Linked DNA regions of Cricetulus griseus. The protein of the gene in region 1 interacts with the protein of each later gene in a biochemical or structural test. Links are inferred from orthologs where the notes say so. Each region holds a gene or a part of one and is shown on either strand. Other genes may lie near its edges.

Evidence for each region.
Region 2: the proteins of Lef1 (region 1) and Mitf form a complex in vitro, tested with the Homo sapiens proteins (2 studies listed by BioGRID). The link is inferred for Cricetulus griseus from reciprocal best matches to the Homo sapiens genes LEF1 and MITF.

The regions. Positions count from the first base shown.
Region 1 is NW_023276806.1:27,799,853-27,816,900, reverse strand, and holds the start of Lef1 (lymphoid enhancer-binding factor 1), read left to right. Parts: upstream 1-6,370; coding exon 6,371-6,577; intron 6,578-7,704; coding exon of another isoform or gene 7,705-7,713; intron 7,714-8,726; coding exon 8,727-8,793; intron 8,794-10,105; coding exon 10,106-10,239; intron 10,240-17,048. UniProt on the Homo sapiens protein: Transcription factor that binds DNA in a sequence-specific manner. Participates in the Wnt signaling pathway. Activates transcription of target genes in the presence of CTNNB1 and EP300.
Region 2 is NC_048601.1:46,121,272-46,132,582, reverse strand, and holds the start of Mitf (microphthalmia-associated transcription factor), read left to right. Parts: upstream 1-8,050; 5' UTR 8,051-8,206; coding exon 8,207-8,310; intron 8,311-11,311. UniProt on the Homo sapiens protein: Transcription factor that acts as a master regulator of melanocyte survival and differentiation as well as melanosome biogenesis.

The DNA.
Region 1 (17,048 bases):
TTTCCCCCCTTAAAGAAGCATCTTGCATCCTGGTCTAATAGCTTACATTTTTTTGCACAGCTCTTTGCAGAGAAAATGAGGCGTTTAAGAGGTCAGATGCCCTACCTACCTTCACCCCCTGCTGAGCCTGTCTTGGACCTGGGATGACTGCTTCTGCATCACACTGTTAGGAAAATGTCTCCGCACAGACATTCAAGCAGTGTGTCAGAGATGACAACTTACAGGCTTTTCACCGTAGACAGAAACGTTTCTGTGGAGTCTCGTGTTTGAAACATGTGAGTAGACCCACCAACCGGACCATTTCAAACCACAGAGACCTACTGGGAAAGCGATTAAGAATGCTATTAACATCAGTTTTCCAAAATCTAATCTCAGGGGAAGAAACAGGCGGTGCACCGTGACCATGTGTAGAGGGGTTAAAAAGCAGGATGCACAAACTGTACGTGTTGTGTCAGCGGTCTCTCTCAAAAAAATGTGGCCACAGAAGAAAGTGTGAAGCATGCTGGAAGAAGACAATATTTATGGCTGAAGAAATTTGGCCTCACATAACGGTAATTATGAACAAGATATTTTCCCTAATAAAATTACTGCAAAACAAAATCTGGAGAATCTAAGTGCTTCCCTATGTTGTCTTTATTTTATCCCATGTGCTCTAGTGATTTCGAGAAGGGGGGAAAAAAAGGAGCAAAAGGGAGCAGAGAGAAAGAGCGCTGTAGCGAGATGGCCTCTGCAGAGGGTTGGTTTTGCTTTAGAAACTGGAATGTGTCCAGGCTTGATTTTTATTTTCAATTCACATTTCAGATCCAGCTCCCCAAACTCTTTGATCTTTCTCCCTGTCTCCTTACCCGGAAGAGAACCCTTGGCCTTCTCAGCTGGGAGCTGGGAGCACACGTGGAAAGACTGGCTGGGATCCATATTCTTGCCAAATTTAGTCACACAAAGGGGCCTGAGAGGGAAAAAAGAAAGGATGAAAGCCGCAGCCGCCACGACTTCAAAGGCCGCGCCGCCGCGCCGGGCCCTGCGCAGGCGCCGCCCTCCGCCGATATAAGGCGAGCCCCGCGCACGCGGGCGGCCCTTCTGCGCGCGTCCGGCTCCAGGGCGCACGGAGGGGGCAGAGGGACCGAGAGAGGGGCCGAAGGGGCGTGCTTCCCAGAAAGCCCGTGCCCACGCCACATTAAGGCGAGAGAGAAAAGTTTTGGGAAATGAAAGAAAAGAATGTGATGTTTGAGCCCCCCAGACTAGCGGTTCCCCGGCTGGCACGTGTATTCCAGAACCGAAGTCCATGTGCAGCATCCCTCCTCTCCCCATGCCACGCGCTCTTGGCGTGGGGATCTCGAGTTCCTGGTGCAGAGCTGAACCTCTGCACCCCCTTTGACTCACTCTGTTGCCTTGCGACCACCCCCCTACCCCCCCCCGTCCCCTCCTCCGTCTCTCCTCAGCCACCCTTCCGCGCCGCTGTCCCGGCGCTGGGGCTGGCACTCCAGCCCGGAGTTGTCATCTCACGAAGCAGAGTGGATGGGGCTCCCTCCACCCTAAGAGGGGGGCGCACAGGGCTGACCGCGGGAGGCCTCGTCGAGCTACAGAAGCCAACGGGCGGACGCGGGCCGCGCAGAAACCGGGCGTCTCTGGGCGCCGGATTGGAGAAGGAGGTTGTCACGGTCCCACGAGTTCCCTGGCCCTGGAGGAAGGGGCTTTGGGTTTGTTTGTCTCAGGCGGAAGAGCCCCTGGGACACAAACTGCCACTTCCCTTGTCCCCCTTCCCCGTGACGTCGGTTAAACTGAAGGTGCCCACAGATTGAGCCTCCTGCCGAAGCTGGGGTGGGAAACCGGAGTCTCGGTTCCGCCCCTGGAATCGCATGAATTCGTTTTTCTAGTCCCTTCTCGCCTGTCTCTCAGAGCATCCTCTTCCGTAGGCCCCGCCACCTCCTTCCTTTGGGATCCCACCTAGGTTGCAGCTGGCAGAGAGTCTAGGCCACACAAAGGGAAGACCCGGAGCCTGGGCTGGGGTTAGGACCTAGGGGGCGGGGAGGACTGTGCGGGGGCACTGCGCTTTCTCATCCCTGTAATTAAGGACTCTGGACCGTCTGCAGCGGGACTCCTCTTGGCTGCAAAACGCTAAGGGGGGGGGGGCTTCTGGTGTGTGTTATTTCTCCTATCTATCCCGCCCCCCCTCCCGGCGCACTGGGCTACGCTCACCTCGGGGCAGTTCGGCCAACTCTGCTCCCCGAAGCCTGGATTCTGGCTGGGGTTAGGCGCCTCACCCCCTCTACACGCCCCTTCTCCATCCCCACTCAGAGGCACAGCACCGGCGACAGCGCCTTATGCCAAAGGAAGTGTTGGTATAAAACAAGTTCGCTCCCAAAACTAAACCCAAAGCCACCAGGAGGGGAAAAAACCAACAGCAAGGCAGCCAGCCCCCAGCAATTGTTTCACGGTCGGAATTAAATCACATCAAAACGCCCCCTGAAACCCACATCCTGAAGGGGAGTAAACCTACTACAGCCAACCTCCAGTGGTTCGCTAGAGTTCACACGAACAACCTGCCTCTGCATCCCAGGAAAGGGGGCGGCGGGGCTGCTGCTGCACCGCACCCATCACATCCCAGATCTGGGATCCCACTCGCCTGACCCCAAGAAGCGAAGAAGCCGCTGCTTATGCTAATAACAGCCCCACAGGAATTAGGATAGACTGCTAGGCGGCTGGAATGCCTTTGCCAGGAAGGCGAAGTCCAGAGACACCACTTCCTGGGGTTACTTCGCCCCTCCTTTATCTCCTTGCTTTTCTCTCTTAAAGACTTGACCAAGGCAAAGTCACCTTCCTTTACCGACCACGCTTTAAAACATGTGAACACATGGTTTTAAGAGTGGCCTTAGTTAAGATTTGCAACACTGCTAAAGACAACAAGCACACCGGGGAGACCACTCACCGCCACGCGTATAGAGCGAGGCCATTAGGTGATTTCGTTAGAACCAATGTTTCCAAGGAGGGTTACAGCAAGGTACCAAACGCAGCCACCTATCCCAGTTTTTTTTGTAAACCGTTCTCACTAGGTGTTGAGCCAAAATTTCCCATCTTCTTGAGCTCCTAATCTCCGGGACACCTGGAGCTGAGCTCTATATGACTCACAGAGTCCAGATAATTAACGCGAAGGAGAAAATGGGAATTCGAATTAGTTGCAACACTTAAACAGGGAAGATGTAGAGTCTTCATTTAATCTCCTCTTGGCTTTCAAAAAATACCCTCTGGCCATTCTTCTTGCCCCCTCCCCCTCTGGGTTTGATGAAAAGGACCGATCTACTCCGGCTGCTTTGATGAAACTGCATCTTCCAGGGTTCTTTTGCTCAGTCCAATTGGCGCACTCAGAGGAGGAATTCTGACTTTGTTAAATTTTATGTAGCAGGAGCTGTAGATGTCTAAAACTGTGTCCCCCTCTCCTCGTTTACCACACTAACAGCAATGGAGGTTGCATGCCATCACTATAAAAAATGGATCCATTTCCAACCCTCATTACTATTCTCCCTGACACCCTGAAGTAAAATGCCATTTTTGGTTTTCTTATATGTAAGGCATAGCTTTATCGATTATTTAGTTTTAAAAAAAGTTTTCGTTTTTCTGGCTTCTTTCACCAGCCTCTTAATTGTTCCCAAATCTATCAGTTTACATACGACAGACTGGGACATATTACCTATTAATTACTTATTACCCATGGGACCAACTGAATTGATATAATATAGATATATAGCTTTAAAAACTATTTCCTAGCAAGCTCCCAGACTGGTAGTTATCAGAAAGCAAAGCTTTAAATGCTTAGTTAACTGTTAAAGTCTACAATGTCCAATAGCCCACAATTTCAGCTTTAAAAGAGATCTTTGCTTGAGCGGTCTTATGTAATGGCACTAACATATACTTCTGTGTTCTATTTTCAACTCAAGGAAGATGGAGATACAGTTCTTCCCGTCTCCTGTTTACTGTTCCCAGGTTTTACAGATGGCTACCGCATTGGTGTAATCATTTTGCCCGAATATTTGACTGAGGGGAGGGGTTGAGAACTAAAGGACAAAATGTAATGTTTCCCAACTTAAGACTCACTTACACAGTAACTTTCACAAAGCGTCTCCCTCAAAAGTCCTATCCTTTTGCAAAATGCATCAAAGAGACCGTGGAAAGTGGGGAATTTTTGAGGTTGGATTCGGATTTACATCGTCAAGGGTCCCTTTCAGCGTTGTTGTCCAGGATGTCAGCAATCGCGCAGTCATGTCTCCCTTTTCTAGATCCTTCTTTCCCCTCGTTTTGGGATGTATTTTCATTTTCTGCGAGGTCTCTTACACACTGAGTCTTGCTTAGCCGAAAACCCACGTCCATCCGGTGGTAAGGACACAATGAAAGCGATAGTGTTTTAAAAGCGATAATTAAGGTCCAGTCTTCAGTCGCTCCCTTCTTCCTGGTCCTTTCGCCCTGGCAAGCCTGGAGATTGTATTTTCCCTTGTCTCCGAAGAGCGTATGATATTATACACACACTACACAGCCACAACTCTTTTTTTTTGTGCTTGTTGCGTCTCTTCTCTGGCTAGGTGAGCAATGAGTTGCATTTTCTCCTTTTCCTTCTCCTAGTCCCTAATTCTCGCCTCATTCCCTCTGTCAGAGCATCTATCAACGTGGTGTCGACCACAGCGCCGGCGGCTTTCTCTTTCATCTTCCTCCCCTTGCCTGAGTGAGGGGGCTAGAGTGGGCGGCGGAAAGGAGGTGGGAGAGAGGCTGGCTAAGGGCATGAGTCGGGGTGGGGGGGCAAGAGAAAGAAGAGATGCTTAGATGATGAAGTTAAGCCACTCAGGTAGAGTTTCTTGTCAATTTCACCTGGGCAACAGCGTGCTTTGGGTGGGTTACAAGCAGCACCCGGTCCTTCTCCAGGTTGCATTTTTCTTTTCTCTCTAGGCATGCACCCGAGTACGCGCGCGCGCGCACACACACACACACACACACGCACCCACCCCCACTGCGCCCCCAAAACTATGACTAGTCCTCTAGGTGCTGGGAAATGTACTAGAGCTGGGGAAGAACCTGGATCTCCTCCTCCTCCTTCTCCTCCCCCTCCTCCTAGCCGACTCCCTCCTCCCCACCCCTCCAGCCAGCAGCCAAGGAGAGCAGGAGGCGGGGGAGGGGCGGGGGAGGAGAAGCGACGCAAGTGAATAGCTTTGCAGCGCCGGCTAGGCGCGGCGAGGAGAAGCGGTGGGAAGGCGCAACCGCTCACCTGCTGGCCAGCGCGCACCAGAGGGACCCGGCTGCGCTCCTGTGGGCCCTGGCATCCGGACTCACCCGGAGCCTTGCAAGCGACCCCGCTGCGGGTATTCCCCGCCTGGCGGCCTGGAGGAGCCGAGGGGCCACCGGCAGCTCTTTGCTTTGACAGAGGGGAGGCGGGGAAAGAGGCGAGTAACAACGCCAGCGAGCCAGGCAGAAACTCGAGCCGGGAACAAAGAGGGATCGGGCTCGTGTGTGTGCGTGTGAGAGTGGTGTGTGTGTGTGTGTGTGCGTGTGCGTGTGTGTGTGTGTCGGCCCAAGCTGAGGGCTGGAACATTTGGGCCCGAGGCTCCTGCTGTGACTCCCCAAGACTCCGCCGTGCCAGCCACTGTCGATTCCCAGGGCTCATCAGCACAAACTTTATTCTTGGCAAACTTCTCTTTTTCTCCCCTCCTCCTCCGTCCCCCCTCCCCCCAGCAGATTAAATGCTCCTCCAGAAGGAAAACCGAAGCGAAAGGGAAGGAAAGAAGCTCCAACACGGACGTCTGCAGCCCGGGTGGCTCTTTATTGTTTACCCATCAGGAAGTGGACTTTTCGGTATTTTCTGATTCTCCTCGCACCTCTGCTGGGGCAAACGGAGCCTTTTGGCCCAGCTCTCAGCTTCTCGAAAAAAACAACTCCGTAATCGGCATCCGAGGAATCCACGGTGGAGAAGTTTTGCACGGTGACGCGTCACGGGACCCTCCTCTGCACTTTGGAAAGTCGTGCCCCCTCCGGAACCCGTGTTCTCGGCGCACAGACCCCAGCAAGGCGGCGTGGCCACCCGGCCTTGGCAGCCTAGCCTAGCGCACGCGGATCGCCGCAGACGCTCTCAGAGGCGCCGGCGACTGCCGCCCTCGCAGTCTGGTGCCCTTAGCCCCGGGGCCGGGCGCCCGCGTCCTTCTAAGTGGGAAAGCGTTGCAATCACAGCCGCTCCTGCTGCGGGCCCCTCGCTTTCCCACCCCGCTTCCATTCATAGTCCTCCCACACTCGGTCTTCCAACTCTCACCCACCCCACCCACCCACCCATCGACCCCCTCTTCCTGCCGTCGCTGAGTGCTCCCGCAGCGGAGCGGGAGATTACAGAGCCGCAGGGATGCCCCAACTCTCTGGAGGAGGCGGCGGAGGGGACCCGGAACTCTGCGCCACCGATGAGATGATCCCCTTCAAGGATGAGGGTGATCCCCAGAAGGAGAAGATCTTTGCCGAGATCAGTCACCCCGAGGAGGAGGGTGACTTAGCCGACATCAAGTCATCCTTGGTTAACGAGTCCGAAATCATCCCAGCCAGCAACGGGCATGAGGTGAGTGGCCGCTATCCCGAGAGGCGTGACGGGTTCAGGGGACGCAGGGAGGAAGCAAGCCGAGCGCGCGGCCACTTTGGCCGCTGCGCCCAGGTCCCTCGCGGGCTGGGCGGGGAATAACGGCCCTGGTCCACGGTGCGCACGTGTGTGAGCGGCGGGCAGGGAAATGTATTCCAAGTGGGTCTGTGGCTAAACGGCGGTGGCTGGGCAGGAAACGTTGGCCTTTACCCGACCTTGTTTCGTCCTCCGACGTTTCGGCGGGGCTGAGGGACGCCACGCATTTAAAAGCAGGGATGTCTAAACACAACTGCGAAGTTCGTCCTGGGGTAGAACACAAAGTGCATCCGCTAGCTCTCTTGGTACAGTGTGCAAAAGTGCGTTAAACCACCGAGGCTCCAAGGAGCGGAGCCTCAGGCGGGAGGAAGAAGAGGCGGGCGTGGGCCGGCCAGGAGGGGCCGTCCCAACCGCCAAGGAGTAGGGCGCGCGCCCCAACTGTGGGGGCGTTGCGGGGCCGGGTCCCCACAGCCGGCGAGGCTGCTGCGGGGAGCCGTGGGCGAGCCGACCCGAGCCACCCAACAGCATAGCCACCGCAGTCCTTCCGCCCGCAACCCCGGCACTTAAAGTGGAAAGAAAGGCGTTTATTTGGGGTTAGGCAGGCCTTGGATCTCTGCAGAAGAAAGGCGAGCTCGGCAGCAGCGGAAGCCGGGCCGCGGCTGGGGAGGAGGGACACGCTTTATCAGATCTCGGGGCCAGCTGCAGGCGACGGCGCTGGTAACCCGAGTAGAGTAAATAGAGCCACGTGGGTGCCGGCTCGAGAGAGAGCAGAGAGCCGGGCCGCGCGCGAGCATCGGATGGGCGTAGATCCCCCCAAGCCCACACCTCAGTGGCCGCTCTGGCCCAGCAGCTGGGGAAGCCTGTCTAGTGGGGACATCCACTAGAAAAGTTGATAGCCAAATGATGCCCCCAACGTTTTTTCCTCCCGGAGAGACTTGGAGAGTATACCGCTTTCCTTAAATGGCAGCCTTCTGCCCCCACCCCAAAGGAAGGGTGGTTTCGGGGGCGGGGACATTTTGGGTTTAAAGAGTACCTTTAAGAACACCTCAGAGTTACCTACCTTCTCTGTCCCGATGGCAGGGGTGAGTACGCATTTGAGAAGGCTGCGGGGGGGGGGGGGCGCCATAAGGGGGCTCTGTGTCCCAAAGTCCAGCAAAAAGTAGGGGAGGGTGGCTTGGGTGCAGTCAATGAGGTTAAAAAAAAAGTCTCTGTGTGCCCGAAGGATGAGGTCGCCTGGAGGACACAGGTTCAAAGAATCAAATACTTCCTAAACTCGAGGACTTGGTACGGTAGAGTGGCCTCCAATAGAGTAGTCCACAGATTTCCAGCCACCTCACGTTTCCAGGGTTTGCTAGTCCGAGGAGAACAGCAGTGCTTTGGAAACCGAGAACTACTGGGGTTGGGAGTTTGAACTGTCCATCTTCCGCTGTGGAAGTGAAGCAAGGAGACCCACTGACTGATACCACTGATTTGCACGTGGTTGAGTCGGGTCGGTGGCGCTTACCAAAACTGATATTAACTGGGCTACCTTTTAGATGTCTGTAACCCGACTCTCAATTTTCCCTCCCTTTAACCACAGACCAGTTCGACTCTGATAGCCTCATAGCATTCAGACTTTTAAGTTGTAAGTGAACGCAGTTCCGGCCAGGACTGCTCTTGGGCAATTTCCCTAAGACCTCAGCAAAGTGGGTTGTTTTGTTTACGTTTCCAGACCTCATTTTCAGTTACAATATCCTGGTGGCATTTAATCAAATCCTGTCAGTGTGAACCAAAGCCAAAGAGGCTGATACATCCTAGAAGTTGGGTTGTTAGAGCAGGACAGGTCATCCCCAAATTCGCTTTTCTTTTCTTTCTTTCTTTCTTTGCTACCATTTTTACCCTTTGATCTGGAGTACTTAAAAATCACTCAGAAATACACTTTGAAAAGAAGCTTTCCTGTACTCAATCAAGCCTAGCCTGTCCTTAATTTTTAACCAAACGGGCAGATGGAGTTTTACCTAAATGTCTTTCTTTGAATTATCAGCAGACACACTGAAACTGTTAGAAACTCTAAGATGCTCTTCTTTCTTTTGGGGGTGGCTACCCATACCTTTAGGTGGTCAGACAAGCACAGCCCTCTCAGGAGTCCTACCACGACAAGGCCAGAGAACACCCTGATGATGGTAAGAAGCTGGATTTCTCTTTCTCCCCGCTTTATCAGAGGACATGTGCAATTTGAGAATCTGCTTGTGGTGCTTGCATCTGAGTTCAGTAGGCTGGGACCAGATAATGCAAGACTGTGCCCACCTCTGTCCCATTTCAACATAATAGAAAGCCCAGAAAGAAAGCCCAGAAACTCAGTCTCTCTCTCATTGTGTATACCACATGGTTTAGAACCAGTCCCTGAATGAATCTGGGCCTTTGGGTTTCCACTGGCTTCCGGATTCTCAGAGAAGAAGGGTTGTTTCTGAGCAGTATTTTTCAGCAGTAATAATTTAGAATTCTTCATTTGCAAAATTGCTGTGTATAGTTTCTCAGTACAGAGGAGAAGGAAGGCAGTGTGTGGACAGATGATTGATCAGGGCTCAGTAAAACTGAGCCTAGCTTCTAAAATATCAACAAATATTAGAAGCTACAACTATCAGATGATAGACAATTCCCCCATTGCTGATTCTTGACAATACTTTAAAAAAACATTCACACACAAACCTTCCTTGCTCATTCTAAATTTAATCAGATCACCATAGGGTTCAGTTGTCATTCAGTTGGCATTTCTGGTCTCCTTCAATTACTTAACAATTGGCCTGTCTAGAATGGAATGTTTGTACATTCAGTGTGTCGACCTAGGGGCAGGGAGAGAGCTGTATATCAGCCTTCCTTCTTGGCAACAAGTAGTTATACAGATTAAAAGGCAAGGAACATTTCTTTGTCAGACTGACGTAAGTTTAGCCATGAAATTAGCTCTTCCAAAGGTTAATTCACTACAAATTTGGATTTTAGCCATACACTAGATCCAGTTTTCTCCTTTAGAATTTGGTAAAAATCCAGAAGTACAGGTGGAATTGTCGAGTTTGTCTAAAAGAAGGAGACTTCAAATGTAGAAATGTGTATGTGTTGTGGGGTAGAGGACCTCACACATTAACAGTTCAATTTTAAGTTTGTGTGTGTTCCCTTGTGTTTCTGTATTTCTCAGTCCAGTTTGTTAGCATTAGAACAAATTAAGTTGGATGAATAACATTTATTTTTGTAAAAACATCAGTCAGTAGTGTAAGTAAATTGAACCACATATTTTTTAAACATCTGGTTTGCTGTTAAGCCATTGGAGAGCATAAATATTGTCAATCTAAAGTAGAACATAATAACCCAGTTTTATATTTTATAATATTTTATGTAAACTCTGGCTTGTCTTAGAAGCAAGAGATTTTCTGATGATAATAGTTTGATATAAAAGGAAAGTCTGTGCATCTTTGTTTTTTTTTTTTTTTTATTCTCCAGGAAAGCATCCAGATGGAGGCCTGTACAACAAGGGGCCCTCCTATTCCAGTTATTCTGGCTACATAATGATGCCAAATATGAATAGTGACCCATACATGTCAAATGGATCTCTTTCTCCACCCATCCCGAGGACAGTGAGTAACATGCTGATGTTGAAAATTATTTTCAGACGTGCAAATTAATTTGTGTTTCAACAGAATGCCTATTTCTTCAAACACACTGGCAATGCCTTCATTTTATGTGACTGTTCATCACTTGGTAAGAGCTGTATAAGGAATGGCAGCCTGAGAACAGAGCTGTCTTTATGTCTCCCGTTTGGATTCTTAAATTTAGGCTAACGTGCTGAGGCAAATGAGTAGAGGGTCACGTATTATGAAACCAAATGGAGCCAAGTCAACAAGTCTATGGTTTTCATAAGTGCTGTGTTTCCATGCTGCTGATGGGAGGGAAGTGGATTGAATCTTTCAGTTAACTAAGGGCCAGGTAGCTTTCAAAGCCCTAATCTGCTTAGAGGCTCATTTGGACCTAGATATTCCAGACTGTTATTTTGGCTTCTGAAAATTACTTGTTTTATTATATTAGCTATTGTTTATAAGGAAGGCAGATGAGCCATTTTCACTTCATTGTCAGTTGGGAAAATCTCATCTGAAGACCATGTAGTGAAAGTTGTTGCTATTTTTAATCAGTTAAGACTTGAAGTTGTAAAAAAAAAAAAAAAATGTAGTGTCATACAAGTACACTATGCTGGTGTGTTCAATATTACAAAGGATTTCACGTTTGTTGTTTGGTGCTATTTCCCTTGCGTGTGGGGGCTGTGGGGGGTGGAGACTGTGCCTATGTCTCCAGAAAACATCTCAATGGTAGCTTCTAGAGGACGTGAACACGATTGTACTGGTGAATATACTGAACATACTGGAGCTTCTTAGGAAGCTGCAGAGGGCGGTCATCTCAACCTGTTCCCAGCCCCATTCCTTCACCACTCAAGTCCAGTGGTAAAGTCTCAGTAACTTCTTGGGGGCAAATCTACAGTCTCAGTGGGACTCAAAGCATCTCCAAACTGAGAAGTCAGCAACACTTGGGGGAAGGGGTGTCACTGATGCCTTAGTGACAGAATCTGAGAGCAGGGGGTTCACTGAAGAAGCAGAGAGGAAGTGGCTGGTAACCAACCTGAGTGCTTGTGGCCATCTTAATGGCCTAAGCCCTCAGTGCTTAAAGTGATAGCTCTGTGGATGGAGTCTGTGGGCCTTGTGATTTCAGACTTAACGTGATCGTTTTTTTTTCTACAAATTTCAGACGGCTCTCTAAACTAAAAACCGTAGGGAATACGGTTTTTCTCGTTTTTATAACGCAGTTGAAATGGAGCTTGTTGGGATCAAACCTTGGAGATTTTGTGACGTTCGTGTTACAAGGAATGATCCCATTATTTTAAGGCATTTCAAATATTGATGATATTTAATGTCTGTGTATTGTGTAGGATCTTCTACCTAAAATGTGAATGAACTAATAAAGCAATAGTCCATTATTTAGAAATTACCCCCAACATATACTTAAATGCTTCTGGGTTTTAAAACTTACAGAAGACTTGTTGAGCCAGAAAGACAAACATACCTGATTTTCTAAAACAGTTTTTTTCGTTTTTTTTTTTTTTTTTTTTTTTAATGGGACATTTTGGTTAAGGAACGGTTGAAAATTTGGTGGAAAAGCTAAAAGGTCAACAAATAACCTTTTCATATCAAGTTAGAGCTTTGGTAATAGAAATTCACTTCCAAAACTGTTTGTTCTACCCATGTGTACAGTTGCACCGATTTGTGGTTTATTCATGGAGCGAAGGACTGCTTCTCTCCCCAGACAAGAAATTTGGGAAAATTGGTGTAATAAACCTCCTGGTATTTATGCAAAACTCTTACAAATATTGACAATTATCCTTTTCCCTTTAAGCTAGTATTCTGTCTTAGGTCTCTGTAGCCTTTTCTCTGATTTTTCCAATGTACTCTTTTGGTGTGTGTGTATATCTGCACATGTGTGCATGCCTGCCTACTTGCCTTATATTCCAGCACCATTTTGAAATGTCCATAGGCTGGAAGATACTTACTGTTACGTGTGTATTCAAATGTTGAGACCCATGAATCAGCCATTCATTGCTTAGGGAGGATTTGTGGGCTGAGTAAATGTCACTAGGTGTAGATGGTGTTCAGAGAACCGTTATTCTATTTTCTGGTGCCTCTGCTGAGTCCTCTTGCATGTTAAAATGCACTCACGTTAGGTATGTTTTATTGAGAGACCCTGCAGTTTGCACAATTCCAGAAGCCTTTCAGTTTTAACCACAAGGCAATGTCAATTTTTTTAGAGTCCAACTGAAGTGAGTTACAATCTTTGGTTTGTAATACCTAACAGCTGTTTGTAGTGTTCTTGAGATCAAAAACACTTTAACCGGAAGGCAGTCTCTCTTCGTCGCCCTAACCACACTTTTGCTCTCTTCCTCCTTCCTTCTGCCCCCAGTGGGATTGTTTGTGTCACTGACATCAGCAATGGTAGACTTTCTTAGAGGGTGTCAGGAGCTGGTGACCATTTGCATTTGGTCATTAGGGTTGGGGCTTCCCTGTGAGTTGGATTTGCATCACAAACAAATCCTAGTTTATTGCATCTGCTAGCCTGTGAGAACTGGAGAGGACCATCTGTGGGTGAGAGAGCCATCGACTGGACCCCTCTCCTTTCTGTGTCTAACTGCAGCCCTGAGAATTCCAGCTGTGGCCAAGTGGCACACACAGGGACGCCTCTTCTGAAATCTCATCATAACCATATGCGGTTGCTCCTGTTTTAAGCCGGGCCAGGCATCATGGTGCCTATTCAGGAGAACTGCCTTCACCCATCCAATTTTTCTCCTGCAAGGTCGTTTCAGTTGGGACCTCCTTCTGAGACTGCAACTTTAAAGGGAGTGTATCTACATCAGACATCTATGAATGAGTCTCTCCTGCAATTTTCGATGCAAAGTTTTAGTTCAGGTAAATTGAGCAATCAGGGAGAAGGCAGCCATGACAACTGCTTGGTGTCAGTGCGGGCTCCTCAAGCACAGGTGATGAGAAAATGTGCAAGCCTGTTAATATTTCAGAGGCAGGACCCCCAGAGAGTTTAGTAAAAGCATATTTCTTTCGCTGAAGCTTATTTTGTGAAAATAAGGCCAATGTTGAAATATTAAAGCAACAAGAAGAAACAGTTCTTAGTGTTCTAAGCTCGGTGGTAGAGCTGGGTGTCCAAGCCTAGTGTAGAGGGATCCTGAGCTGAGCTTCTTTAACATATGAAAGTTCCCTGTTGGGATAAGATTAGCCTGTGGCCATTCATCTTGAGAATCAAACTTCCATTTGTCCCCCCTGTAGCCCAAATGGTTAACACCTTTCCAGAGAAGCCTGCCATTTCTCTTCTGATGCCTGCGGAGGGAGTGGCACCAGAGAGCCAGGAAGCTGCTGCCCATAGCCCCTGAACACAGTAGCTCTGAATCCTGAGAACTTGGAACTTTGTGGTTCTTTGTGATCATCCTGAGAGACACAGGCAGGGAAAGAGAAGGTGTTTATTCTTTTCAGCTGCGTTTTTAACCTTATTCTTAACGTGGACTTCCCGCGGACATGTTATGACCATGCATGTTTAGTTATTTAGAATGGTTTGATTCTGTTGGATGACTCTTCCTTCGTCCACATTTGTCCTTCAGACCATTGTCTGTGTCTGTTCTATCTCCCACCCCTGATTTTGTATGGGTTTACAAACAACCAAGATTTGATTTTTGTCAGTGTTCACATATGGGACAAAGGACTTTAGGTGGATTTGGCTAACCTTGAAGCCCCTGAATGCTGCTATACTGATGTTGGATGGCTTTGAGACAAACAGGGAAGAGTGACTGTGGCTTGTGCCTCATTAGAAGCCTTTAAAGGAGGAGACTCCTTGTACTGCAAGGGGCTGCCTGATTGACTTCCTGATGAATTAATTTTAGTTTTCTGATTCCAGCCGTTTAATTTCTCTCAGCTAAGTAAGCTGGCTTTTCCCTCTTTACCCTCAAGCACAGGGTGTATTTTCAAAGTGAATTCTATGCAATATTCCTATGTGGCTGTCAGGAGAAGGTGTGGGAAAATTCCTCTTCAGAGTCTCTTGTTATTCTGTCTGATCCCTCCTCACTACACTGCTACCAAGTCGAGAAAGACTCATAATTGAGAAGAATTTGGAGCGATTACCTTTGTTCCCCCAGATAGCCCAGGTCTCTAATGATGTTGATTACTCTGGGATCCCAGGGAGCCATCCTGGAGCCCTTTAGTAGCCAACCCTGCATTTACAGTTTATGTCTTTTCAAATGACCCTGGGAGCTTTGTTTGTCTGTTTATTCAGAAAGTCATGAGAACAACCCAAGATATTGTAATTTCTATAACACAAGATCACTAAATCAAAGTGGGAACAAATCATTTGTTGTTGTTGTTGTTGTTTGCTTGGTCTTGATTTTTTTGAGACACAGTGTTGCTACATAGGGCCTCGAACTCACAGAAATACAAGGGCTTCTGCTTCCCAAGTGCTGGGATTAAAGGCATAACAGGCAAGCTGAATCCTACTGTTTGAAACTGATCATACATCACAGGCCTGAATCCAGCTTTACTCTCCTCACCGTCTTTACTCCAGCCACACACTTTGGAATGACTAGCAGAGCTAGAGTTTCACAAGTAAGCCCACCTGGCCCACCATGGAGCCTCGCAAGCATGTCAGCTGTGGAGTTTTTAAAGGTGAATTTGTTAATTCTGGAGGCAGGCCCATTTGGATTTATGAGGTTAACATTTTTTTTTGAGCAATCAGAGCACTCCCATTTTTCCCCCCTGACTCCTTGGTTCTTCATTTACATATCATGGATAAGATGGGGATTTTATGGATCATTTTCCCTTTGATTTTGGAGAAAGGCTTGGAGTTTAAAAATAAAACATTCCAGTGTTGTCTGTGGCGGCAGAAAAAGCATGTGTGCATTATTTCCAGGTACAGGGAGCACTTGGCAGCTGCCATAGCACGGGCGTTGCTGGCATAGGACTGAAGGTTGGTTTTTGAAAAGGAGGCATATGTTTTAAAGCAGTGCTCTTTATAAGCAACTGTGACAAGCTGGTCCAGGCATACACTCACTTAGGGAAAGCTGAGGATGTAGCTGGTTTGTCACAGTGTCTGCCTGCTAGGAAACGAAGCCCTGGGTTTGGCCCTCAGCACCATACAAAGAACATGTGGTGGTACTCACACATTTGTAAACCCGGGACTTGGGAGATGGAGGCAGGAGGATCAGAAATTCAAGCTAATCCTCAGCTACTTAGTGAGTTCTGGGACAGCCTGGCCTACAAGAAATCCCATATCAAAGGGGTGGGGGCAAGGACAACAGGTAGTAGCCATGGACTTTATTGAAATAACTGTTAAAAATATACTTTCAGGGAGCTGGAGAGATAGATGGCTCAGAGGTTAAGAGCAATGGCTGCTCTTCCAGAGGTCCTGAGTTCAATTCCCAGCAACCACATGATGGCTCACAACCATCTATAATGAGATCTGGTGCCCTCTTCTAGCATGCAGGGAATGCAGGCCAAACACTGTATACATAATACATAAGTTATATATATATATATATATATATATATATATATATACAAATTTGGTGGCACACATCAGTAGTCATAGCTGCTTGGAAAGCTGAAGCAGGGAGATTGAAATTTCTGCGTTCAAAGCCAGCCTGAGCCAGCATAGCAAGGGTCTGTATGTACGTGTGTGTGTGTGTGTGTGTGTGTGTGTGTGTGTGTGTGTGTGTGTATAAATACATAAACTCATGGTTGTCTTTTAAATACTGCAACTTAAAATTTTTAATTTTATTCATGGATATGTGGTCTATTTGGTGCATACCAATGAATACTGTATGCTATGTTTGTGTTATTGCTCTGAGATCACCAATAGAGTCTAACCTCAGTTCGGAGGGTGGAGCCCACATTTGGCTGACCAAAGTGGACCATAGAGTTTTCCTGGTGGACTTGGGGAGATAGAAGGACACTCAGAGGAGAAAAAGGTGGAGCCAAGAGGTTGTGCAGGCTTTTCTCTCTGGGAAGTGGGCAGAGAGAGGTGTTTGTGTCTTCACTGTAGCCCCACTGATGCTCAGGGTTATTCCCTAACATTTACTCCTGGGTTTTATTATTTTTTTTAATGAAATCGAAATAGGCATATGTGTAGAGGTCAGAGGACAACTTTGGAAGTTGTTCTCTCCTTCCACTGTGCCCAGGGTTAGAATTGAGGTCATCAGGCTTATACAGGCAAGTGCCTTTACCTGATGAGCCATCTCACAATGGTCCTGATTTGATTTTTTTAAAGTGAAATCACAATTTAGTAATTGTGACCTTTCCTTATAACCCCGTAAATTAAAGATGTAAATGATCTAATCTCTAAAACTTGGAGCCCCAAAATCCAAAAATAATTAAAGCCCAACAGTGATGATGGGGAAAAAATACCGGTGAAGAAGCAGGGCTCTTCATCAAGAGGGCTGTGCAGCAAGTAGGGACTGCTAACTCAGAAACACCCAGCTGCTTGTGTTTCCCACTTAGGAGAGGTGATAGTGAGGAGCTAAGTCTCTAGAGAAGGCATTTATGTGCTGTGTCAACTCTAGGTCAGTTCACCAAAATCATGAACTTGCCTGTGTGTATCATTCCAAAGCTCTCTAGGGAATGAGTATGTGTGGGAAGTTCTCCATGGCAGCCCAGAGTAGGAAGAATTTAGGTTGCCTCTCTCACTTCCCCAGTTAGAGGAAGAGAAGAAGGTCTGGATATAGAATATTTTCATTTTTCCAACTGTCTATACATAATGAATCTTTCAAAACTCTATTATTGATCATTGTGACTTCTTATGCTCACCAATCAATAATCCTATATGACATCTGATGGCAGTTTTGCAGAAACCACAT
Region 2 (11,311 bases), on another chromosome or scaffold:
TCATCTGTGACCTAGCAAATGCATCCTTAGCTTTTGAAACCTCCTAACAGCACTTGGTGTTAGCATAGATGGGAACATTGTATCTCCTGAGGATTGCTTCTTCAGACCCTCGCTGCAGGACTGTGCGGGCATCTTGGTTTATTTCTGCTTCTGATTTTAGTTCCTTTAATAAGTGCTAAGTAGGCTTCATCCAATTTTTTTTTCCAGTGCATTTCTTCAAATCACCCAGTAGCATGTGCTAACACGTCTGTCTCTTGTTTTAATGAAAAGGTTTCAGCCTCTTCATCAGCAGTGTGCCCTGGGGACACAGGCTAATTTCTACCCTGATAAATCAATTTAGACTGGGACAGAGTTCTGACAATGGAAAAGTCAGTTATTTTGTCCCATCAGTATTTGTCTGATGTGCACATGAATACGACAGACAGCCTAGTAAAAATTATACTTTCGTCTGCAGTGTCCTTGTAATCTTTACAGAAAGGAACAAATGCAACTGCTATGGTTTGGATAAGGACACATACACAAGAGGCCTAGTGGCCAACCGTTATTATCAGATGGGGCCTAGGAATTTAAACCATTCAGGGTGTGTTCTTGAAGGGGCGTGGAGTACCATTCTCTTCCTATTTTTTGAACTCGAAGCCACCAGAAGATGAAGAGACTGCCTCTGCTACTTGCTCATGTCATAACACACCGTGGTTCTACAGGCTCAGATTACCGAGGTCATGTGACCGCAGACTGAACCCTCTGAAATCTCAAGTGAAAGTAAACTCCCTTCATTCCTTATAAGTTGTCTTCTCAGACATTCTGTCACAGTCATGGAAAGCAGATTAACTTTTTCTGCATGGTCAATTCATTCATTCATTACAGAGACATGTATTCAAAATCAGCCACAAACATGGCCCCAGTCCTCTAAAAATTCAGATATGTGTGTGGCCGCTGCTGGTGGAAAGTTAAGCAGATAGTTAGGGTGTCACAGTCTATTGAGCTATATTTGGGAATGGGCTGCTGAACTGATCTGGGGATGTGCTGAGTGTGGGTAGAAACAGACAAGGCTTCCTATAATGGTTGAGCCCAGTTTTAACATCTAAATAAAGGTATTGAACAAAGAGCCAGAGAAAGGAAAGGGCAGAGAGAGGTTGGCACTAAACAGTGGTTCTCGACCTTCCTAATAGTGCAACCCTTTAATACAGTGCTCATGTTGTGGTGACCTCCAACCATAAAACTGTTTTCATTGCTACTTCATCACTGTAACTTTGTTACTGTTATGAAGCATAATGTAAGTATCTATGTTTTCCAATGGTCTTAGAGACCCCTGTGAAAGCGTCATTAGAGAACCACTGGTCTAAGAACTTCAGGTATTTTTAGCCATTGCAGCCCTAAGGATGATATAAGTGGGCATGAGAGGGCAGGAATGAAGGCCAGGAAGAGATGGGTAGCCAGTGTAACACAGAGCTTGGCCTTTTTGCTGTAATAATGAATGGGGATCCAGAAAGAACTGAACTCAGGTAAAAATCAAAGTGAGATGAGTATTTAGAAAAATATTTTCTTTTAACAAGTCTAACAAACATGGATGCTTTGGGGCATAGTGATTTATAGGAAATTATATTACTGGTGGAGAATTCATGAAGTTTTCTTTGCCTATAACCATAGAAGCCATCTAAGTTCTATTAAGGCAGAGTTTTGAGAATGAATTTTAGTAAATTTATATGATAAGGAAGATTAGCTATTTTAAAATATGAAAATAATCTGTAGCTAATGTAAATTACCCACAATAACTACACAAAAGAGAGAATTTAAAGACAAGCCAGGATATTCTGTGGTCTTTGAAATATTTCTTCACACATATCTATAAGAACACACTCAATGACTTATATTTAAGTGTGAATAGTTCTCAACAATAAGATTATAGATATTAATCTTTCCTTTAACTTACTTACATTTTATAATTTTAAACAATGAGTGATATTTTTTCAACAAGAAAATAAATATATACAGATATATTGCACCAACAGGCCCATCTAAGATACCCACAGGCCTGCTGGATTCCAATTGGTTCTCCATTACAATGAGCAACTATATGGTGGAGAAATAGGAGAGAAAGAGAAGCTGAGAGTTCATGTCTTAAGAAGAGAACCATAACCGAAGAAGCCAAGGCAGTGAGGAAGATGCTGATGTGGGTGGCCTGTGCTGCCACTTTCCGTGTGATGATGTCCAAGCCCAGGCTGCTGCCTGGGGTCATGTCTGGGTTTGTGGCCCCTATAGAAAGCAGCCAGGGGTCTGTGTTGACAAGGTTCCTGTTACTACCAAGGGCTATGCGGGTGCCTGCACTTGCAAGAACAACATATCTGGACTCTGGGAGAACAGGATCTCCACAGACTCCTTTGTGATAGATGACCACAGGGCTGACCTTAGTACCTTTGAACTTGCAGATGACATTTTGAGTGTGCACTTGATGATTTTTACAAAGATCTAAACCTTTGACAAAAGTCTCAAACAAATGTAATGGATGTGTTATTAAAAAATCCTAACAAACCACAGAACAAACTTACATCTTGGAACTTACCTACACATTTTTCATGCTCAATTTCTGAACATTATGCAGCTTCACTTGGGGCGTGTTCTCCTGGGGCGTGACCCACACCTTGGCACAGACTCTCCTGCTTTGGCAAACAGAGGAATAACATATGTTGGGAGATGTGGCAATCTTGCCAGCTGACCCCTCCCCATCCCTGGCAGCCGTGTTCCTTGGCTCTGTTATTTACATTGTTGGTGGGACTCTTCTTAGGCAGCCAGACACCCTCCTGTTCACTCCTGTGTCCATGAACATATTTTTCCAAAGGCAGAATATGAGTAAATTCTGGGTGGGCAGTGGTGGCGCACGCCTTTAATCCCAGCACTTGGGAGGCAGAGGCAGGCAGATCTCTGCGAGTTAGAGGCCAGCCTGGTCTACAGAGCATGTTCTAAGACAGCCAGGGACATACAGAGAAATCTCATCTTGAAAAACAAAAACAAAACTACAACAAAGATTAAGTTCTGTTTAAAAGGGAGTAAGGTACGGGCAGATTTATGGGCTTTTGTGTATATGGTTGAGTTTATTGCTACCAAGGAGGCTGCAAAATAATTAAAATGTATATTTTCTGAAGCTGTGAAAGAAAAGGGTACTGGAAACTTGAGATAATGAGCTTCCTTTCAGATTAGAACTTGGGCACAAAACCTAGATCTACCAATCAAATCTAGCATTGACCTTGAATTGGACAGTAAGGAGGTGAAGTAAGGACTGTATTGAAATGATTTGGGTGATTGTTGCCATTTTCTGTCTCCAAATGTGATATTGTGACAGTGTCTAGTATTTGGGGTGCAAACTGATGTTTACTGTCCAATGGTGGCTTGGGTGGTGATTCCCTAGCCCAGTTCTATCATGGCAGGAGTTACCCAGATGCTCCTACAGGCTGCTTTACATGTTGGCTCTGCTGTCAAGGTGCAGGTCCAGATAGTCTACATTTTCCATAAATCTCTTTCTGCTGAACCGACCTTAGCAAGTTTCCACTGGCTCTTTTCCTCCAACACTCCATGTACAAATCTGTTTCCACACCTTCCTCGTGTCCCCTCTTATTTTCCTTTGGAATGATACACTTTTAAATTTACTTTTTAATCAGGATATAACCCATTTAAAATCATTATGAGTGACTATAAGGATGGTTTATCCCTTAAGAGTGCTTGTCACTCAGCCTGATGGTCTGAGTTTGATCCACAGAACTTGCGTAGGAGTGGAAATATAAGTGACTCCCAGGAATGCCATCTGACTTCTACATATGAACTTTGTGGTGTGTTCTCCTCCCCCATAATAATAAAGTAGAAGAAATTGAAAAATCATTATGACAGATTCTCCTTTCTTGGAAACATTCAGTCACGGTGACTTGGGAGAAAGTTCGCTTGGTAAAGTGCTTGCCATGCAAGCATAGGGTCCTGAGTTCAATCCCCAGAATCAGAAAGAAAGAAAGAAAAGTACTCTAGCTGAATTGGTGAACTTCAGGATAATGAGATACTGTCTCATAAAACAAGGTGGATGTCATCTGAGGAATGACACCCAAGCTTGACTCTGACCTCCACACACATATTCACCCTTACACATGTGAGCACACACTGTGTGTGTGTGTGTGTGTGTGTGTGTGTGTGTGTGTGTGTGTGTATACGAGCCTGTGTGTGCGCATGTGGCAAATTCTTATACCCCATCACCTAACCTCAACACAGCACCATTTATTTATCATTGTCCATTTCCCCATTCCTTTGTGACTAGAAAAGGGAGGAAACAGTATAAGATATCTCACTTATGAGTAATTTGTGTATATCTCTGAGATAAGAAATTTAAAAAAATACAGTGATGGTGGGGGTGTGATTTAGTGGTAGGATGCTCGTCTATTATGAGGGGAGGCCCTGGGTTCCATCCCCAACAAAAACAAGGAAATCAACAACAAAAGCATATTGCCATTATCAGACCTAATAACATTATTCAATTTTGGCTGGTGAGTTTGTTGTAGTGAAGGTATATTTAGGGGAAATACCTCTTTTTCTCCATTTTCAAATAATTGAAGTGTAATTATATCTCAAAAAACTGATGGCCATTTTTTCTCTCCCCTATGTTTCATGGCATTTGTTTTTTTTTAAGACTGTAAAAACACTGGGACTGAAGAGATGTCTCAGTGGTTAAGAGCCCCAGAATTACCAAAATCAGAATTACTTTGGCAGAAAATTCCCAAGGAGGATTTACAGTGATGTTAGGGTCCCTTATCATTTTTTAAAGGAATTACTATGGCTAAAACATAACATCATAATGGGAAAAGTCACTGGTAAACTGTTAAAGATTCAGGAAATCACCTGGCATCCAGGCACGTGCAAACAACTTTAATTAAACGCTGTAAACTATTTAAAATAGTAGATGTGGAAATAGAACGGACTGTGTTGGGAAGAAGAAGGGCTTCACGGGGGAGTGGGAGGGAATAAGAGAGGGGAATGGGGGTTGGTCCTAATCAAAATACATTATATATACATATGAAATTCCTAAATAATAGATCAAAAATTACTTTAAAAGCTGAGATTTTATAATGGTGAGGACAGGGTGGCAGGTGGCATTGTAACAAGTAACCCTGTGAAGGTTTTCTGAACAGAAAGCAGAATGAGCCTAAAGAGAAGATGTAAGACGGGGGTATTTTAGCTGTATGTGTAGTCTGAAGACAACTCCAGCTCAGAGCTACACTTCAGAGATCTCTCTGGAAACTGTACTTCAATGTAGAAGAGTTTGGAAGTCTTGAATTTTCTCTCTCTCTTTTTTCTTTTTCTTTAAGCATGATCCTTTAGGTCTGGGCTTTCATTCACTGGCCTATGTTTCATTACCTTTTTTAGACTCCCAATGTAGCCAAGGGTGCAAGGTTGACCTTGAGCTTCTTTTTTATTTTATTTCTTCAAGACAGGGTTTCTCTTTGTAACAGCCCTAGCTGTCCTGGAACTAGCTCTGTAGACCAGGCTGGCCTCACAGAGATCCACCTGCCTCTGCCTCCTGAGTGCTGGGCTGAAAGGTGTGTGCTCAACCACCTCCCAGCTACCTTGAACTTATTTTCCTCAATCCACCTCTCTTAAGTGCTATGATTATAGGTGTGTGCCACCACATTGTTTTAAGCAGTGTTGAAGTCTGAACCCAAGACCGAATACATGATAGGCAAAGGCTCCACCAACTATACTATATCCCTGGCCTCATTGTAGCGCTAAACCTCAATTCTGATACAAGTCTGTGACAGCTCTCTCAGACCACAATTAGGCACAATATGCTTCTATCTATGTATACTAAGAAGGAGGTGCATAGCTTTTTTTTTTTTCAGGTTAAAAGATTCCCAGTGGGGGCTGGAAAGATGGCTCAGTGGATAAGAGCACTGGCGGCTCTTCCAGAGGACCAGGGTTCAATTCCCAGCACCCACATGGTAGTTCACTACTGTCTATAACTCCAGTTCCAGAAGACCAGACACCCTCACACAAACATACATACATATATACAAGCAAAACACCAACACACATAAAATAAAAATTATTTTTTTAAAAACGACTCCCAGTGGGCCATGAGATTCAGACAATGAAGAGGCCCAGTGTTTCTCAGTGTGGGACTCAATGACATTGGGCCAGAAAGCTTGCTGTCACGCACAATGTTTAGCATATGCGGTTCACACCCGATCAAATTCCTGGAATTGCTCCAAGCCCATCAGTTCCTCCTCCCTATTCTAGCACTGATAATGGAGGACCTGGATGAGATTAGAAGTCTAAATGCATGTTCCTTTCTTGATTTTCTTTCCCCTTCCATTATATCACTCCTGAAACCTAATTTCCAGTAGTTTATATATCAAAGAACATCTTGAAGGGTGATTCCAGATATCCTGTCATGTTATTGTTATTGTGAAGACCAAAAGAAGGTATTTGGGGAACTATATTAAGCTATGAAATTTTGGTAATTGCTACCTCAATGCAGTGTGCATTTTCCCCAAATCCTCAGTTCTCAACCACCCTCTCCAATTGGTAATCTTTCTGATAAGAAATTTTAAAAAGTGCTTCTTTGTGAGGCAAGAGATGGGAATGGGTAATTCCCAGGAGGTGCCCAACCACCCGTGTAGACTTCTTAGGACAATCATTTAATTTATTACTTCTGAAAGTGTAAACACAGGAAGAGATGCTAGTTTGAAAAGAATGTCTTAATCTGGGCAAAAGAAACAGCCAAAGTTAATGCTGTTCTTTGAGCAGCATTTTAATTAACGAGTTAATTAATTGATTAATTGTGTGGGTACCTGCATGTGGCTGTCAGTAGACAGCTTTCAGGAGTTAATAGTTACCTGCTTCCACGCAGGGGTCCCGGGGCATCAGTCTCAGGTTGCCATGTTTGTAGACAAGTACATTTATTTACGAGCCATCTTGCTTGCCCTGCAGTTTACCACATTGCCAGTCAATTTTTCTTAATTTGACCTTGCAACACCAACTCCAACAGGTTTCCTAATCTCTTCTTTTATAAATGAGGAAATTGAGGCTTCTGGGAGTCAAACTGATGTATCTAAGACTACACAGGATTTATTAGAAGAAATCAGGATTTCTACAATCTTAAACACCATTCTTAACACTGATGTCTCAAAGCACCTGTTTTATGTGAAATGAAGAACCCTAATGGAACTAATTAGAAGACAGGTCTACAAGTACAAATGTGTTAAAGTGCAGTCATTTAATACATTACCTAGCTCAGTGCCTTGAAGCTGCACGGGCTTGCAAAGTTAGGACAATCTCACTTGAACTCCCAGCCAGCTGAGAAATTGAAAGCAGACAGTGGCGAAGCTGTTTGGTAACTTGGTGCCTTTTAAAATGAACTGGATCCTCCAAGTGCTGCTTTGGATTAGAGGTAACTAATTGGATAAAAGGAAAGGAGCCTTTCAGCTGATGAAGAGTATTGTAAGAGCCCAGACTTGAGTGAGTTCCAGAAAAGGAACGCACAAGAACAACTTCTCCAATAATGTTCTCATTACAAAGGAGTAGTTTCCAACACTCAGTTTCAATTGAGGACAAGACGATATGTCGCTGCAGCCCGGAGAAGCTTAGGGGCAGCGGGGGGTGGGGGCGAATAGAAAGCCCTTTTATTTTAAAATGGGCTTTAACTCTGAAACTTTTCTAGTGCCAAACCCTGTAGTGTTTTATTTTTTAAATGAACCCTTGGCGTGCCCTCACAGATGTCTGAGCTGGGAGGGACAGTAGGAGACCAGGCTGAATCCGTTGTTATTAATATTAAACAGCCAGGTCTGTACCCTTGAAGCAAACGGGAGAGACGCGGAGAGGAGCTGCTGACATTGACAAGGAATCCAAACAGGACTTGCACTATCGGTACACACCACGTTGCCGCTCCCCGGCTCGGCCTTCTGGGAGTTGTAGTCTTGGAGGAAGCTGCTCTCCTATAGAGCTGGTAGGCTCTGCAGGAAGGAACTACAAATCCCAGGATGCATCGGGATCGGCCCCTCCCGCTCTGATGCCAGTGTAAACTCACCGCGCCGGGGCGGGCGGTCGGCTAGCGGGCTTAGCGGGGCACTGCGCAGGGCGCGTGGCTTGGGGGACTCAAGTGCCCCCCCCCCATCTTCGTCAGGTGCCGGGGTTCTGCTCCAAGTTCCAAGAAGTGGAAGGCGGGCAAGCGGGAGCCATGCAGTCAGAATCTGGGATTGTGGCGGATTTCGAAGTCGGGGAGGAGTTTCACGAAGAACCCAAAACCTATTACGAACTCAAAAGTCAACCTCTGAAGAGCAGGTGAGTGGTGACAGCTGGAGGGAGGCGCGGCTGGAGGCCCAGGGGCCCCGCGCTTGCTACCCTGGGACGGGAACAGCCAGTCTGAATAGCTGTGGGACAAGGACCCCGTGCCCTTGCCTTGGGGTACAGGGAGACTTGACCCCTGGCATCTGGGGTCCTGCTCTCAGAGACTTGCTCGCATCCTAGGGTGTCTGACAGACACTTCGAGGGCACCATGGCTCTCTTGGGATGGCTCATCCAGGCGCGGGGACCCTTGGCTGCACATGCCAGCTGCTGAGCTGAATGGGGGCTGGGGCTGTACCCTGCTGGCCGAGGTGGGGTAAGAGGAGCACCTGATACGGACCGTGACCTGGTGCTATACCCAGTGGCAGAGTTTTTTCTGAGGATCATAGCAGGCTGAGGGCTGGAGAGGGAGAGCTTGGAGTGGATGGAGATCCGATGCTCCAGGGAAGCAATAAACTGGCCTGGAGTATCTCCTTGTAGTTCAGCTTCTTTGGGAGAGACTGCTCCGGGTGGTACCTAGGTGAAGTTCACCGGGGCTTTTTCTGCCACCTGCCACCTGGGAGCATCTGTACCCCCCCACTCCCGGGGTGGGGGTGGGGGGCAGGCAGCGGGTGGGCGTGTCTCCCCAAGCTCTTAGGAATAGAGCTCCTGGCAAATGCAAAAAGAAGGGACAGAGGGAGACAAGGAGGGAAGGAGGGAGGGAGGACAGGAGGGAGGACCGGAGGGAGGGAGGAAGGAAAGAAGGAAGGAAAGAAAGAACGAAGAAAAGCTACTTCAGAGGCCTGTGGTGGTTGGGAATGATCTCTTTTTGGCTGCTACACAAGTTTAATTCCCCAGGCACTTCAAAAACTTTGGGACTTGAGTGAAGATGCCCTCTGGTCTGGTGCCTCCCACCTCTGTACACCTGCAACACCCTTATCCTTTGCATCATGGTCTATTGCTATTTGGCTGGCAGAATCGGTTATCTTCCCTTTTCACTCTCTTTGATCACTCTGGATCCCTAGCACTTCTTATTTGTGAGAATACAGAGAGGGGGATGGTCACTGAAATCTGTGATAGCCAAAGAAAGGCTTTATTTCCACCCCTTTCATTTGTGAGATGAGATAAGGCTGAGGTTGGAAGCATTATCACTTTGTCCATCAGTTGAGACTAGGGTCTAGGTGAGTTTCCCCTGGCAGAGGGGCAGAGAGAAAAGGAGGATGAGTCTTAACTCTGCTGGAAAGTGGAGCCAGGTTACTTTCCTTCAGGCCTGGGGCAGGACCTTGAATCCAGTTAGGCGAACAAACTCTGGGAAGAGCAGATGTCCCTGGCTGCCCTTGCTAAAGCAGGCTTTTTGCACATGCTTGTGGCAGAGTGGAAGGAAATGTGTTAGGCATTGAGATGCATTAACTTGGCCCTTCACTGGTGGCTCCTTTTATAATGGCTATTTTGTATGTGAACGTGGATTGTGTGTATTGGGTGCTCTGAGTGAGATTGTGTAAGGGGTATTGTTGGCTATGCTAGTTAGGGCTTTATCTGCATGTGGCTGAAGGGACCAGTGTTTTACTGAGCAGCCCCTGCTTTTGCTTCTATAAGCAAATGCTCACATGGCCAGAATGAGAGGGTGTGTGTGTGTGTGTGTGTGTGTGTGTGTGTGTGTGTGTGTGTGTGTGTGTGTGTGTGTTCCTGAAAGAAATGAATTAACTGGACTGTTTAGAACATTTATATGATGGGTAATACATTAAATGAGTTTGAGGGAGTGAGGAAAATATGCTTTGGAGAAAGCCAGTGAGTGCCCTGATACTTATGTGGAAGGATTTGGTTCTGTTCTTTGTCACAGTCAGGAGCTCATGTTCTTTGTAGCTAGCTAGCTAGTATGGGGAAAGAAAACTGTAGGTAAGTGGGCATAAAGAACTTCACATGTTGGTACCAGAAGCCAGGTAGGATGGAGGAGACATATGCTCTTTGAAATAAACCAGTTAAATAAAATCTGTGAGTAAGTATCTGGAGTGGGTGACATTTCCTTATACTGTTTATGACAGTTGTCCTAATGGTATTGTCATTTGCATATGTTTTGTAACCTTAAATGGGCTTCATGTGGTTCAGGGTCTTCTCCTTGTTTTTAATTTGGAGTCTTTACTGGGGCCCCCCTTAAGTCCTGGTTGGGAAAAAAGTTGTAATGAAAGTTGCAGACTCTTATAACAAGACCATTTATGTATTGTTTAGATCAGAGGTTCTCAACCTGTGGGTGTTGATGCCTTTGGGTTTGAATGACCCTCTCCAGGGGATGCATATCACAAAGCCTTCGTATCAGATAATTAAATTACAATTCATTATAATAGCAAAATTACAATTATGATGTAGCTACAAAAGTAATTTTATGTTGGGGGTCACCATGACATGATGCGCTGTATTAAAGGGTTTAATCATTTGAGAACCACTGGTCTAGAATGTTCCAAAATTCACCTATGTCTTGCCTATTTCTCTTCGGTGACACTGGCCAAGTCAGTGTCAGTCCTTGCCTGGGTTATTGAATCAATCTCTTAATTCTCTCAGCCTTGGCCACTTTTAGATTTTTAATTTAGCAGCCACAATAATCTTATTAAACTGATTTTCTTTTAGGGCTGAGAGCAGGAGTCAGCCAGTAAAGTGCTTGCCACAGGAATAAGAGTACCTGAGTTTTATTCCAAAAACCCACATGAAGATGCCAGGAATGGTGGTTGGCAGTTGTAATCCCAGCACTGGGGAGGTGGGGATGAGCTTGCTGCCAAGCCAGTCTGTCTGAATTGAAAAGCTACAGATGAAAGTGAGACTCTGTCTCAAAAAATAAGGTGAAGAGTGACTGAGGAAGGCACCTGAAGGTTGAGCTCTAGTCTTCGCATGCATATAAATATATTCACATAGACCATTCTCCACCCCCATACACAGTGTACTCATACATACATGTGAACATGTGTGCACACATATATGTACACCCAAACATAAAATTAAGTTAAAAATACCCACATGATTTTCAGTA